Linked DNA regions of Schizosaccharomyces pombe. The protein of the gene in region 2 interacts with the protein of the main gene of each other region in a pairwise test. Each region holds a gene or a part of one and is shown on either strand. Other genes may lie near its edges.

What was found. The genes of interacting proteins can lie anywhere in the genome.
Region 1: the proteins of pex13 (region 2) and pex19 interact in a two-hybrid assay, tested with the Schizosaccharomyces pombe proteins (one large-scale study listed by BioGRID).

Annotation. Positions count from the first base shown.
Region 1 is NC_003424.3:4,475,285-4,480,639, reverse strand, and holds pex19 (protein Pex19), read left to right. Parts: upstream 1-3,758; 5' UTR 3,759-3,929; coding exon 3,930-4,023; exon of another isoform or gene 4,024-4,165; coding exon 4,166-4,770; 3' UTR 4,771-4,855; downstream 4,856-5,355. Other genes in the region: scs22 (VAMP/synaptobrevin-associated protein family protein), read left to right, coding at 729-918, 1,148-1,263, 1,345-1,998; nuclear proteasome tethering factor Cut8, read right to left, coding at 2,002-2,790; protein dhm2, read right to left, coding at 5,066-5,350.
Region 2 is NC_003424.3:2,079,450-2,087,568, forward strand, and holds pex13 (peroxin 13), read left to right. Parts: upstream 1-5,660; 5' UTR 5,661-5,798; coding exon 5,799-6,665; 3' UTR 6,666-6,984; downstream 6,985-8,119. Other genes in the region: AAA family ATPase Elf1, read right to left, coding at 1-2,998; lysine methyltransferase Set8, read left to right, coding at 4,070-5,359; calnexin Cnx1, read right to left, coding at 7,166-8,119. UniProt on the Schizosaccharomyces pombe protein: Component of the PEX13-PEX14 docking complex, a translocon channel that specifically mediates the import of peroxisomal cargo proteins bound to PEX5 receptor.

The DNA of each region.
Region 1 (5,355 bases), 2.4 Mb from region 2:
TTGAAAATGATTACTGACTTTCGTGATCCTGTAGTTGGCATCCACTCGAGTAATTCGTTTCCTTTATACATGGTATGCTTTCTAAAGCATCGCTGATATTCCTTGAAATAAAAATGTTGATTTTTCCCTAGCATAATGACCATTAACGAAAGTATACAATATCTATTTAATGATTGTCTAAACCAAAAAACGTATTTCCTTTGAATAGAAAGTGTAAACGAATGCGCAATTTTTTTTTGAAATCATAATGTTTACTTCATCCTTGCATTCTTAAGTTGTAATTAAGACAATTCAAACGCATTAACATGACATTTAGAAATTAAAAAGGATAACTTGAATCATCCTTTTTGGGTATTTATATCATTTATTAATTTCACAAACAATAAATCCATATACTTATTGGGATTTTATAACCATACTGCATTCGTACATTATTCACCTACTGCAAAATATTTTTTAGCATATATTACTTTTTACTTTCAAAATATCACATTTATTTTAATAATATCGTTATAAGGCTTTGTATAATATCGATGAAAACAGTTACTTGAATAATTATCTCCTTTTATTTCAGTATCCATATATTACCATAATCTTTGCTCAGCCTCGGAAAATCACACACAAGTATGTGTGACGTAAAGCCACGATTTTTGGCTACACTGCGAAATGGTACTTCGCAGAGTAAAGTAGTACCACCTCTCGCAACAAACTCGCCTTTCCCGTAAATCATGGCTCTTGAATGTGATAGTACAATTGTGTTTCCTCGACCACTTACACGACTAGTAAAATGTGATTTAGAACTTCGCAATACTGCACCTTATCCGATCGGATTCAAAGTGAAAACTACTGCTCCTAAACAGTACTGTGTGAGACCCAACGGTGGTCGAATTGAAGCCAATTCGGCTGTAAGTGTTGAAGGTAAGATAATTTATATTTAATTTTGAACCTCATTTGCATTTTTTGATTTTATTCGTTTAAGCGGTTCCCATCATTGATGTTGTCGGGTGGAACAAAAACGTTGTCATCAACGTGATTTTCTTTTGCAAACTAACAGTTTTTATTGTTTTTGTGCGTGCACTGGAAGATAATTTGTGCTCATTAGTTATTGCTGTAAATTTTCATTTACTAACTTCTTTTTTTTTAATAGTTATCCTACAGCCTCTAGATCACGAACCGGCTCCTGGCACAAAATGCCGCGATAAATTTTTGGTCCAGAGCACTGAATTGAAGCCAGAATTACAGGGAATGGATATAGCAGATATTGTATGTGATAAAAGATATACTTACATTTACTTTTTTAATACATGCCATACATAATTGATGTTCTAACCAATACTTTAATAGTGGACTCAAGTCAGCAAGGCTAATATATCGGAACGAAAAATTCGATGTGTTTATAGTGAAGGCCCCAGTACTGCAAATGCTCATGCTAATGCTCACCATCAACCAGCTCAAACAACGACTACATCTATTCCTACTTCTGCCACTGACAATTATACCACAGTAAATGGTAATGTTAATCAATCTTACTCTAAAGGAATAGACGGAACGGCACTTCCTTCGACCCATGCAAATCCCGTAGCTGCTCCATCTACAGCTACTACACAGCATACCCAGCTTCCTAAAACATCTGCAGTTTCTCACCAGAAGCCCCATGAAGCCCCATCTACTGCCGTAAAAGCTCCTACTGCAACAGTCGCTGAAAATGAACCTTACCCAAAGCCTCAGTCAGTGCCTACTACCACTTCTCCTAACAATGAAAATAATGCATTAAGATCTACCGCTAATGTAATTAATAACACAAGACAATCAACAGCTACGAGTCCATCTATGTTCGCTGGAAACAGTGGAAATCAAATAGGACTTGCACGCGTTTCATCGTCTTTTGGGCGTCCGACTAGTGGTGCCAAGGTTGTTCCTCAAATTCATAACACAGTTACTGTGCAAACCGCTTTCCTATTAGCCATTATATGTTTCCTTATAGGCCTTCTGTTCTAGTTTTTAAATATATTGATGCATACTGTGCCAACCCATTCCATTGTCATTCCCAATGTTCATACTATTAGTATGACGATGAAAATTGTTTTGTGGATTTGTTTGTTGAAAAGTATGACTTCTTTCATGTACAAGTGGCTCATTTTTTTGTAATTGCTTAAGGTAATTTAATGCCTCTTCCATTCTGTTTTGTGATGTTTTATTGTGCTCTTCCAACTCTTCCAAAGGTAGTAAAGGGACTACAGGCCGATCCTCAAGTTGTCTTAAAACAACAAGCCACGCGCCCGTTAATTCATAGTACGCTTGACTTTTATAAACATTATGGTTGGGATTATGGAATTCTGGCAGTTCGTGGACAACGTTTGTAGCGGCATCAAGAAAAGTAATATTTTTCTCAAAACAAGTAGAGTATGGAGGTAAATAACAAGGAACCATATCATTAAGCGCATGTAAGACAGCCATGTACTTTTCACGAATTCTATTAAATGCGTAATCACCCCTCTTGTCACCACCATAGGGAAATGAGTCATTCAAGTTAATTAAAAGTTTACGCAACGTTTCAACACAAGTATCCATGGACGGCGCCGGTAATATGCCCCGTATATCACGTGCGAGATCAGGATGCTTTTCTACACATTGTAATAAAATTGTAAAAAGCTGTTGTTTGTCTGAATATTGTAGCAGTCTCGACAATGGCAGTTGCTCACCCACAGGTAGTTGACGAGCACGCTTAGAAATGTCTTCGTCAAAATCAGCTTTGCGTTTCTTAATCTGAGAATAAGATAAGGTCTCCATGAATTAAGGAAATGAACAGTAACAACAAATAAAGATACCAACTTCAAACGTGAAATCGTCTGATTAATTATAACAAAGAAAATGAAAATTACAAAGAAATGGATATTCCAAAAGAAAGAGGAAAAAATTTCAAAAGTAGTAACAATAAAACAAAGATAGAGGATACTTTGTTAATGAGCTTCCTTTTTTAAAAGCCGGAAGGATGGCTATTGCTCAGTGTATCGACTTATGAAAGCTAGCAATTTAATTTTTTTCTCAGCCCAAATGAAATAAAACCGTCGATTATAATTTCTATATTACAAGAAGCTCTATTGCCCGCAATACCAGCTCAATTAGAACCTCGATTTCTTAAAAAAGATAATGGAAAATGGTAAGAACAATTTAGTGGCTCAAGAGTTTTCTTCTCATGAGACGTTACCAAACTATTACTTAATTCCTTAATTTGTTTACTGAAAAAATTACATTTTATTTAATATAATGTCACCGCAGCTGAGTGTCAAGCCTACAATAATATGTTAACGCAGTACAGAAAATCGTTAAGTTGGAAGAGCAAAATAATAATTTTTTTCGAAGTAATTGTGCGTATGGATCAATGTTATAGTCAATAACTATTTAACTAATTGTTGTTGGTAAACAGTAGTCAATTCTAACTTATTGGTGATGCTAAAAATGAAAACAAAGCTTCATTTCAACTGATCATAGGCAAGTAATAAAAGCAGGGGGTAGACTTTACGTTCTTGTGTCGACGATTTTATGATCGTTAATTTCGTACTCGATTCATACCAGATACACAAACAATGAATAATTAAAACGATTCATACATCCAGTAAATAAAAAAAATTCCATTAAATTTGTTGTTTGAAGATTTAAAATTGCGTCAAATTTGAAACCAAATAACGCATCTTAATGCACTTGAACGTTTTCACGCTGATATACTTTGATAAACAACGATCACTACGGTTTTACCTACATGAAAAATAATAGAGAAGCACTTTATTATTTTTTTTTGGCAGTTCCAAATTTTCATTTTTTTTGAACTTACTACTTTTTTATTTATTTTGTGAATTACATGATAATTGAACTTGCAAGAGGCTTTTGAAAAACGACAAACGTATGCTGACATCTGATATATAAACGGAATGTCAAATCCAACTATTGAGGGAGACGAAAACCGTAAAGAAAATACAAAAAGCAACACAAAGCCGAATTTTGACGACCTTGATGATTTGGATGGTATGGAACATCGGTAATGTCCTGACTACGATTTGTGTATTACGATATTTCGTTCAAGTGAATTTTGCATTGCATAAATATAAAAAATAATGAGAGGGTAGAAAGGACTTTACATTAAAAGGAAACAACTAACAAAACAAAGATATCCTAGATGATTTAGATGTACCCAGTGCATTTAAGAACGAAGAGAAGAAAAACATAGATGAGCATAAACAAACCGGTAATACATCAAAAGAGAATGAGAGGATAAAGAATGACGATAATTTGAATTCACTTATTCAAGAAATGATGAGCAAATTTGAAGACTTAGGGGGACCGTCTGGCTTGGATGGGAGTCAACTTTCGTCTAGCTTTCAGAATGATCAGTTACTCAATGTTATATTAGAGGATCAGTTTGCAACGGAAAAAGATTCGGATAATGGAGCCGTTAACTATGGTGCTTTAGAGGCTGCCTTAAACTCCCTAATGTCACAAGTTACCAGTAAAGAGATTTTGTATGAACCCCTTAAAGATCTTGAAGCAAACTATCCTAAGTTTTTAAAGAATGCGAAGGAGACAGAGAAGCAAGGTTTTGAAGAACAGTACCAGAAAATTCAGAAATGTATTCAAATTTTTGAGAGTCCCGAATATGATGCTCGTAAAGATGCAGATATCATTTCGAAACTGGTAGAAGAAATACAGGAAAAGCCGCTTCCAGCTCCATTGATTGATAATTCTATGGAAACTGCAGGATGTCCAACCCAGTAAGTGGCTTGACTAAAGGATATGTATCATCGCTGTTATATTATTGAACTTAGGGTTTTGGATTATATATAATTGATTCTTTGTAAAAATTTCCTTATTTTCATTTTCAATTTAGTAACCCACGAACTTAGGTAATTAATTCTTTTGATTGTAACTGCTAAAATATGTTAAGTTGGTTTATATAAAGTTGTTTAGAAGTTTTTAGCTGACATTAGGTCAAGGCGAACCAACGCAAGGCTTTGACAGCAGCAGCAAACGAATAAAATCATAGTGTTATGTTTTCCTTTTTCAGAAATCGTTACAATTGATCAACTTCTTCTTCCAGATCCGATGGTTCAATTGCATAATCTTCAGAGGCATTTTCAAGTTGTTTTTCCCATTCCATATAAGCGCTTTCGTCTATAAATTTATTCATTTCCATGGAACCTCCCCTTTTATGTTCCAAAATCCCCTGTCGCCTTTTAGCTTGTTCATTTTCATTTTGGGCACGTGTAGATTGTCTAAGACGCGTCCACGAATAAATCGTAGGCTTTAGTCGTTCAGGCGAAGCACGATCATATTGATAATGAAAGGAATCACTCATGATGA
Region 2 (8,119 bases):
CTTCAAACTTTCCATCGTCAACAGCGGTCTTGCCCTTACCGGTAACCTTACCCGCTTCTACATGCCAGTGTTCAGGACACAACGCAGAAACAAATTCTTCATTATGTGAAATCATAACGACCCCACCTTCCCAATCACGAATAGCAACAGCTAAACCACCTAATGCATCTCTGTCCAAAAAGTTTGTAGGTTCGTCCAAAACCAAAAGCTGGGGGTTATTCCAGAGACACGCAGCAATAACAACTTTAACCTTTTGACCGCCAGACAAACTACTAATGGGGCTGTAATCAGCAATGTCGCCAGGAAGGCCCACATCCTCAAAATGTGCCCTGATGTCTTCGGGAATCAATTCACGGAAACCGAGACCTTCGCGAGAAGATTCCATATCATCAAAAGCCTGTACAAACTTTTGAAACCCATTTTCAAGCAATATTTCTCGAGACACCCACGTATTGTATTTATGAGGCTTCCCAAACCATTTAATTTCATATTGAAATGACTTTTTTAGTTTTTGACGGCCAATCAAAGCTTCCACTCTTCTACGTTCGCCATTGACCGTAATATCACGCTGAAGCTGAGCACGGTCTTCTTCGGTAAGTTTTCGAGATTCCTTCTCTGAAACTTCGCGGTCCTGTCCTCCAGCATAACGCCATTGAATATATTGACTTGGCGTTTTTTCCAGATGTTGATCCAAGTGATGAAAGGCATGCTGAGCAACGTAACCCACACGCAAGTTGGGATGCTTGAAAACTTTTCCTTCTTGAGGGATTACTTCACCGATAAGAACTTTAATAAGCGTTGATTTACCAGCACCGTTAGGACCTAAAATGGCAACACGAGAAGATAAAGATAACCCAACGGTAACATTATCTAATGACTTCTTCTTCGCGTTGGGATATGTATAAGAAGCGTTTGTCATTTTTAATATGAGACGTGTGTTTGAGCGCACACCAGTTAAGATACCGGGAGGTGGAAAAACAAACTTCTCGTTTGTGGCTGTCAATGTATAGTATGATTTAGCTTCCGGTTTGACCTTGACAAAAGCTGAAAGATTACCTTGATAATAACCAAGCTTTTTTGCCTGGTTTTTAACACCTTCATAATGAATGATGTCAGTACACACGTGGTCCAAAAATGAAGAGTCGTGAGAAACTATCAAGCAAGTAATATTCTTTTGAGAGGTTAAATATGCTTCCAGCCATGCAATATTGGCAACATCAAGATGATTTGTTGGTTCATCCAAAAGCAAAATATCAGCTTTCTGCAACATGGCACGAGCCAACTCCAGTTTCATTTTCCAACCACCAGATAAAGAAGCAACAGGATTTTCCTGCATCTCCGCAGTAAAACCAACAGAATGCAAAGCATCAGCAGCTTCTTGACGGGTAACATTCATAGTCAGTAACGCCTTATCTTGAGCAACAAAGTCAAGGATAGCCATACTAGTATCCTCGCCTTGAAGACTATGTGCAACAAAGCAAGTTTTAACCTCATCAGGTGAGGGAAAGTTTTCAACCTTGTAATCACCAATAGCGCGTAACAAGGTTGATTTACCACAACCATTGTGACCAACAACACCGTATCGATGACCTCTATAAAGGTGAAGATTGGTATGACTCAGAAGCAATCTGCCACCGTATGCCAAAGAAAAATCAGTGTTAACTAGTTCCTCTTCCTCAATAGTAAGGTTTGAAATCCCATCAACAGAATTTAATGACTTATAGAAGGCGTGAAGGTCATCATATATCTTTGATGATATTTGTGAAGCCAATTCTTCCCCGACAAGTGGAGATAAATAAAGCACACCTAATTGCGAAGTCCATTTGTCTTTGTCAAAATTATTTGACTTATACAATGCTGCTAAGGCATCGCAGACATAATCTATGATACTGTTGGCCAACTCATGTGGTACACTAGTGTTTTTAAGGACGGCCTCACGTAATTCTTTACAAGCGCTATCTAACGCCTGTTTCTCAGAATTGTTTGCAGCCTTTGCAGCCTGAGCAGCTGCAGCCTTGTTTAGAGTAGTAAGTGCATGAGAAGCAAGGGCACGAACTTCAGGCATAGCAGCAGTTTGAGCAATACGCTCAACGTCCGGAATTAACTCAGGAAGAAAATCAGATGCCTCGGCAGGATCAGGAACCAGTTTACATAAGTTGTCAGTAATAATGACAGTCAACCGCAGCATAGACTGTGATCTCTGAGCTAATGCTCGCTTTAAGATAGGAACGAGCACAGCTAAAGCAACTGATTCAACTGTAGCTACAAATGTTGTAGCGCTTAAATCTTTAATACAAGCTTCCAGTGTTTCCGGATGAGCCATACAATCGACGAGCTTTGGTATATGAGGAATAATGTCGTTGTTTTCAACGACGGAACATAAGTTCAACATGCATGTAATAGCGGCACGAGAAATTTCCGGTTTCGTATCATGCATTCGTTCTTTAATACAAGGAATGAGAGCGGCCATGTAATCAGCAACAGCCTTGGGGGATGATGATGCAAGAGAGCCCAGTAATTGCAAAGCAGCCACTTTACTAGGCCATTTGATAGATGAATCGTCTAAGTAAGAAATCAAGCTTGGAATTAAGCGCGTTTCTACGGCTCCTGCAGGAAGACAATCCAAGAGGGCTTGGGCGGCCATTTTGGCGGCTTGTCTAACTACTTCACCACGATCCGAGAACGAATCCAAAATAGTAGGAAGATAAGGAAGGAATACAACTTCGGAAGGCGTACCCAAATTTTTAATAACAGTAGCAAAACCAATCATGGCAGCTTCACGATGGAATCCCGACTTCTTATTGCGAGCTGCACGTTCCAAGCCATCCAAAAACCCCGTAGTCTTCAAAGTGACTAAAGGGTTGTCATTTGAAAAAAGCTGGGCAATTTTTTTACCTACATCAGCACAGCTTTGAGAAGTTTCAGCATCCAACAATTCCTGCAATAATTTGAGGACATCGTCCTCTTCGTAACCCTGAATTAACACAGAGGATGTCATTTCTCTGCAATGCCGTTCCAAATCCCACAATTAACCCGATTAGGCCTTGCAATGTAGCTTGGTGGAGGACAACTATTGATATTGTGAGAATCCCTTTCATATACTAAATTTTAACCGCTCGCAAATTTATAATTTGCCTTACAGTTCCTTAAACGCCGACTATTGACAAATAGTACAGTCTCAGTATCGCTATAGCTTATTATAATATAATTACTTTAGTTCGCTATTTAGTACAGATGTTAAAAGTAAATAATATATCCTCAATATTCTGTCAAAAAAGATTTACTGAACGGACCACCTGCATTTGATGAATTAGTAAATAGAGATATTAATCCAATTAGTTCGTGAAACTCTGCTATAGTGGGCCCATCGGATCTGATGAATTTGACAGTGTAGACCTATTAGGTACCAGGTACTACCGTAGGGTATTGTACTTAATCAGCAAGAAGATACAATGATTTGATAACTTTTTAGAAAGCTTGTTTCTATATAAACCAACCAAAAAAGCTCTATAGGGATTTTTTACTACTACTCTGTTAAAATATTAGTCTGCGTCCTTATATTAATTTTAACCATAAAACGAAAAATTGGAGAAATAAATTGATTTCAATAGTTAACAGATTTCATGTAGATTCACATAATTTTGCCAATATATTTTTCCTCTGTTCTGCTCAGGTTACTAGTATATTAATAATACATAATTTAAGCTGTCACATACTACTTATTTATTTTGAGGTTCCAATATTTTATATTATTTTTCAACTAAACCGACAATCGTATTAGGCTAATGACCACTAGATATAATAAAATCATAAATTACTTATAGTACAAAAATCGGCTGCCGTTTGTGATGCAAGCGTCGTATTTTTGTTCATATAGGGTTGGGTTCGAGTTACCGAAAGTTAATGTCGCTTCGGTTGTTTCTCTAGGGACAGGGTATTTTCGTTGCTATTGACTTAGAAAAGTCGTGGAGTTATTAATAAACAACCAATAAATTTCAACTCGATTAAATACATTTTATTGTTAAGTTTTCCGTCGTTGTTTTGGCTTAAGACTGAGAAAATCAAGTCAATGGATATCAAATACAATGAGTTGGTCAACCAATTTGCGCCGGGAGCAAAACAAATTACTATAAAAAAAATACGAAAGAAAGGCAATGGAATTTTTTCTTTGAATAGGTATACTTCTGGAACTGTTCTTTTAGAGGTTCCACTTGAAAATATAATATGCCGCAAAACAGTTGAACAATTTCGAAATTCTTGTGATAAATTCGCTTCAATCGCAACGCTTGAGGAATGGAACGATATGAGTTTCAGAACTCAGGCTATGTTATTTCTTTGCTATTTATGGCTCGGTATTCAACCCCGAACCAACAAGTGGGATAAGTTTTTAACGGTTCTTCCTTTATCTATCAATACGCCTGCACAATGGCCCGAAAAAGAAGTCTACAGCCTCCAAGGCACTTCGATTTTTAATCCAGTTTGTGTCAAGAGAAAAATTTTACAACAAGAGTGGCTTTCATTAAACCAGCGGTATTCTGATTCCTGGCCTAGTAAAATAACACTCCCAAAATGGGTTCATGCTGATGCTTTGTTTCACAGTAGGTGCCTTGAAAGTCCCTTTAAAGATCCAGTTTTAGCTCCTGTGATTGATTTATGTAATCACTCCTCTAAGTCTAATGCAAAATGGTCATTTTCGGAAGATGCTATGCAGCTCTATCTTGACAAGGACATTGATGAAAATGAAGAAGTTACGATAAACTATGGAAGTGAAAAAGGTTCTGCTGAGTTTTTATTTTCTTATGGTTTTTTACCTGAACCTGAGGGCGATCGGATTACAAATGTTATGAAACTCTTGATTCCCGAGGATTCTAATGACTCGCTTGATCTTGCTAAAAGGAGATCTTGTAAAACTCCCCCCATGATTGAATTTGTTTCTGATTCATCTGGGGAATTATGGTGGCATGCTCCATTTCTTTTTTTTTCTGTACTTAATGTTGAAGACTTTACAAACTTCAAAATGGTGTGTGATGAATCAAAAGCTCAAACAGTTGACTGGGAATTTGAAGGTCAAAAATGCTCAGTTGAAGATTTGCCAAAGCTTGTACAATTATCTCCTAAAAGAGATTTGTATATTTTACGTGTTTTTTGTCTCGCTGAACAATTAGCGGATGCTGCCCTAAATACAAACATTGAGAATATGTACAATCCAACCGAACGACGTTCAGAATCGGTAGAGCTTTTAAAGCGTGAAAGTTTCTTACTTAAGAAAGTCCTTTTATATCTTAGAGACGTTATTTCAAAGCTCCTTAAGTCCAAAGTTGTGGTGGAATTCATCCATAGCCAGACCATTGAGTCATGAATCGACCATGCATAAAAAGTTATTTATTTAAAAAAAAAAAGAAAATATTTAGTATGTGATGAATACTCTACAAATCTCTTAATTTGGAATGACTAATCGTGTATAATAATATAATATCCGTAATATATCCATACCAAATAAATTAATCAGTAATTGTGAAAAAAATAAGTATCTATTTTGATTATGCTATTAAATATTAGGAAATTTTCAATTGTAGTATTGATACCAGTTTCCTGTATTCTAAGGCGTTAGTATTCAGATTGGACTACCATTAATACTATTTCGGACTATGTATTCTACCACACCGACAACTTTGACATAAAGCGACCTAGTTCCTATTTAATAGCTCGTGCAGCGTATTTACGAAGGACTCATCCTACAACTTTTTGATTTATTAGAATATTTGCCAAGGACGCATCTAGCTTATTGAGATTTAACTATGGAAACAAATCAAAATGAAAAAGGACCAAGTCTACCTTCTTATCCTGCTGGAGGAATTATGTCTGTAAGCAACTCAAATGCTGATACGAATCAAGGCGTTACTCAGCATCCCTTGGCAAATCGGATTGTTAATCCTAACTACTACAATATGGGATTCAATCCATACTCGGGTTTTAACTCCTTCATTCCTTCCTTTAATCCATTTGTCCCTTTGGAAACCAATTTACCAGGGAACGGACCTATATCATCACTGCAGGTCATTGAATCTATTGTAGGTGCCGTTGGAAGTATAGCTCAGGTCCTTGAGTCTACTTTAATGGCTGCTCACATGAGTTATAATACATTTGTTTCTGTGAGTGAAAATCTGAACAAACTAAAATCGTCTATTGGTGCAATATTTGGTATTGTTTCATTGTTGTCGCGGCTTAAACGCCTAGTTTTAAAGTTCTTCAAGCATTCTAAAATCGATGAAATGAATTCACAAGAATATGATGTATTTGAGAAGGAGGAAGGAAACCATAAAAATTCAATATATTCAATTGTCAGTAGCTTGGCAATTATTCTTGGGTTGGTGGGCTTACCTTATGCAATAATTAGGTTATTCAAAAATATTTATGAAAAAGAAAAACAGATTCAACAAGCAAAAATCAGAAAAAAAATTGATAGTCTTGAGTTTTGCAAGGCTGATTATGAGTTTATGTCCAGAGATCCGGGAGTGGAAATGTCTTTAAAAAAAGGAGATATCATAGCAATTCTATCTAAAACAGACACCCAAGGTAATCCTTGCGAATGGTGGCAAGGAAGAAAGAGATCTGGCGAGACTGGGTGGTTTCCTTCAAATTATTGTTCAATCATTTCAAGGTAACGTTACGATATTTTGTTTGAGGACAATAAAATGTCTGAATCCCGTATAGTAAACGAACTTTTTAGTTTGACAATTTATTCTACTATTCTCACAAGATATGTAGACAAACATCCTTTCTCTTGATTGCAGAATTTCACGCATTACTTGCACTTGTTTATGGGAAATGCCTGATCATTTCTCTCTGACGACTAATGCGCAGTTGTAAAAAGTTTTTTGATAGTACTACCCACGATTTATAAATTCATAGTCTATTTATTGATATTACTCATAATAAGAACTAGAGAAAACATTTTCAAGTATTTTATAATTAGACTAAGGCTTTTAACAGAGTCGCTACTTTGAGTCAAACTTTGTAAACAAAATATGCTGTATTAGTGAGTATATATATTGATATATTCATTTACTTCAGTCAAAAGTCCACAAAGGAACAGGAAGTAGTTTATTGCAACTTCTATGCGATTCTTAAAATAAGAAAAACTTTTGACATTTTAGCAGTTTCATTAGTCTTCATTCTTCGCAGTTGGTGATTCAGTTTCGGGAGCGTAAGAAACGTCTATCTTCTCAGTCTCAGTCTCTTGCTTAAACTTCTCTTGCTGCTCTTTCTCAGCTTCCGTAGTTCCAGTAGATAAAGAAGCCGGGGAAGAGGAAGCAAAGAAATAAAAGTAACAAGTAAGAATAACAGCGGTTAAAGAGCCAAGAACGGCAACAATTGCAATCCCAATTTCAGGAGTCTCGATGATGGTTTCAACATAGTAGTCAACTTTTTCGGCAACATTTGGAGGAAGTTTAGCTTTAATAATATCATATACGTCAAGAAACTTCTCAAGAATTTGATTAGACTCTTCGTCAACATGCATTGATTGCTTTTCCATGGACTCTTGCTTAGAAAGTAATTCTCTTTCAGCTTTCAATTTAGGTAGGAAAGTTTCATTTCCAAGACGTTCAGCGTCCTCAATTGAATGGCCGACATAGATATTGCTAAAGCGGATGTTGGGCTGCATAGTCCAAAGTTCGAAACCAACACCGTAGAGTGGACCGAAATGAGAAGGATGATCATCATCAAAATAGTCAGGGTTAGGAATTTTACGAGGATACCATTCACCAATGAATTCAGGATTAGGGATCATAGGAGGAGACCAAGGGCCACGATAGTTAGGGTTACGAATCATCGGTGGCTTCCATTCACCACAGCCAGCACCTTCAATGCATTTAGGATTGATGATTTCACTTGGAATCCAATCACCATCTTCTTCATCATCCCAATCCTCAGGCTTCTGAGCTTCAGGATCAGGAATGTAAAGAGGTTCATCCTCTAACCAATCCTCAGGTTTCACTGCGTCAGGATCAGGAATCATACGGGGAGCGTCTTCATCCCAATCATCAGGCTTAACCGCATTGGGGTCAGGAATTTCAGGTTCGTCAACCCAATCAGCAGGCTTGATATCTTCGGGATC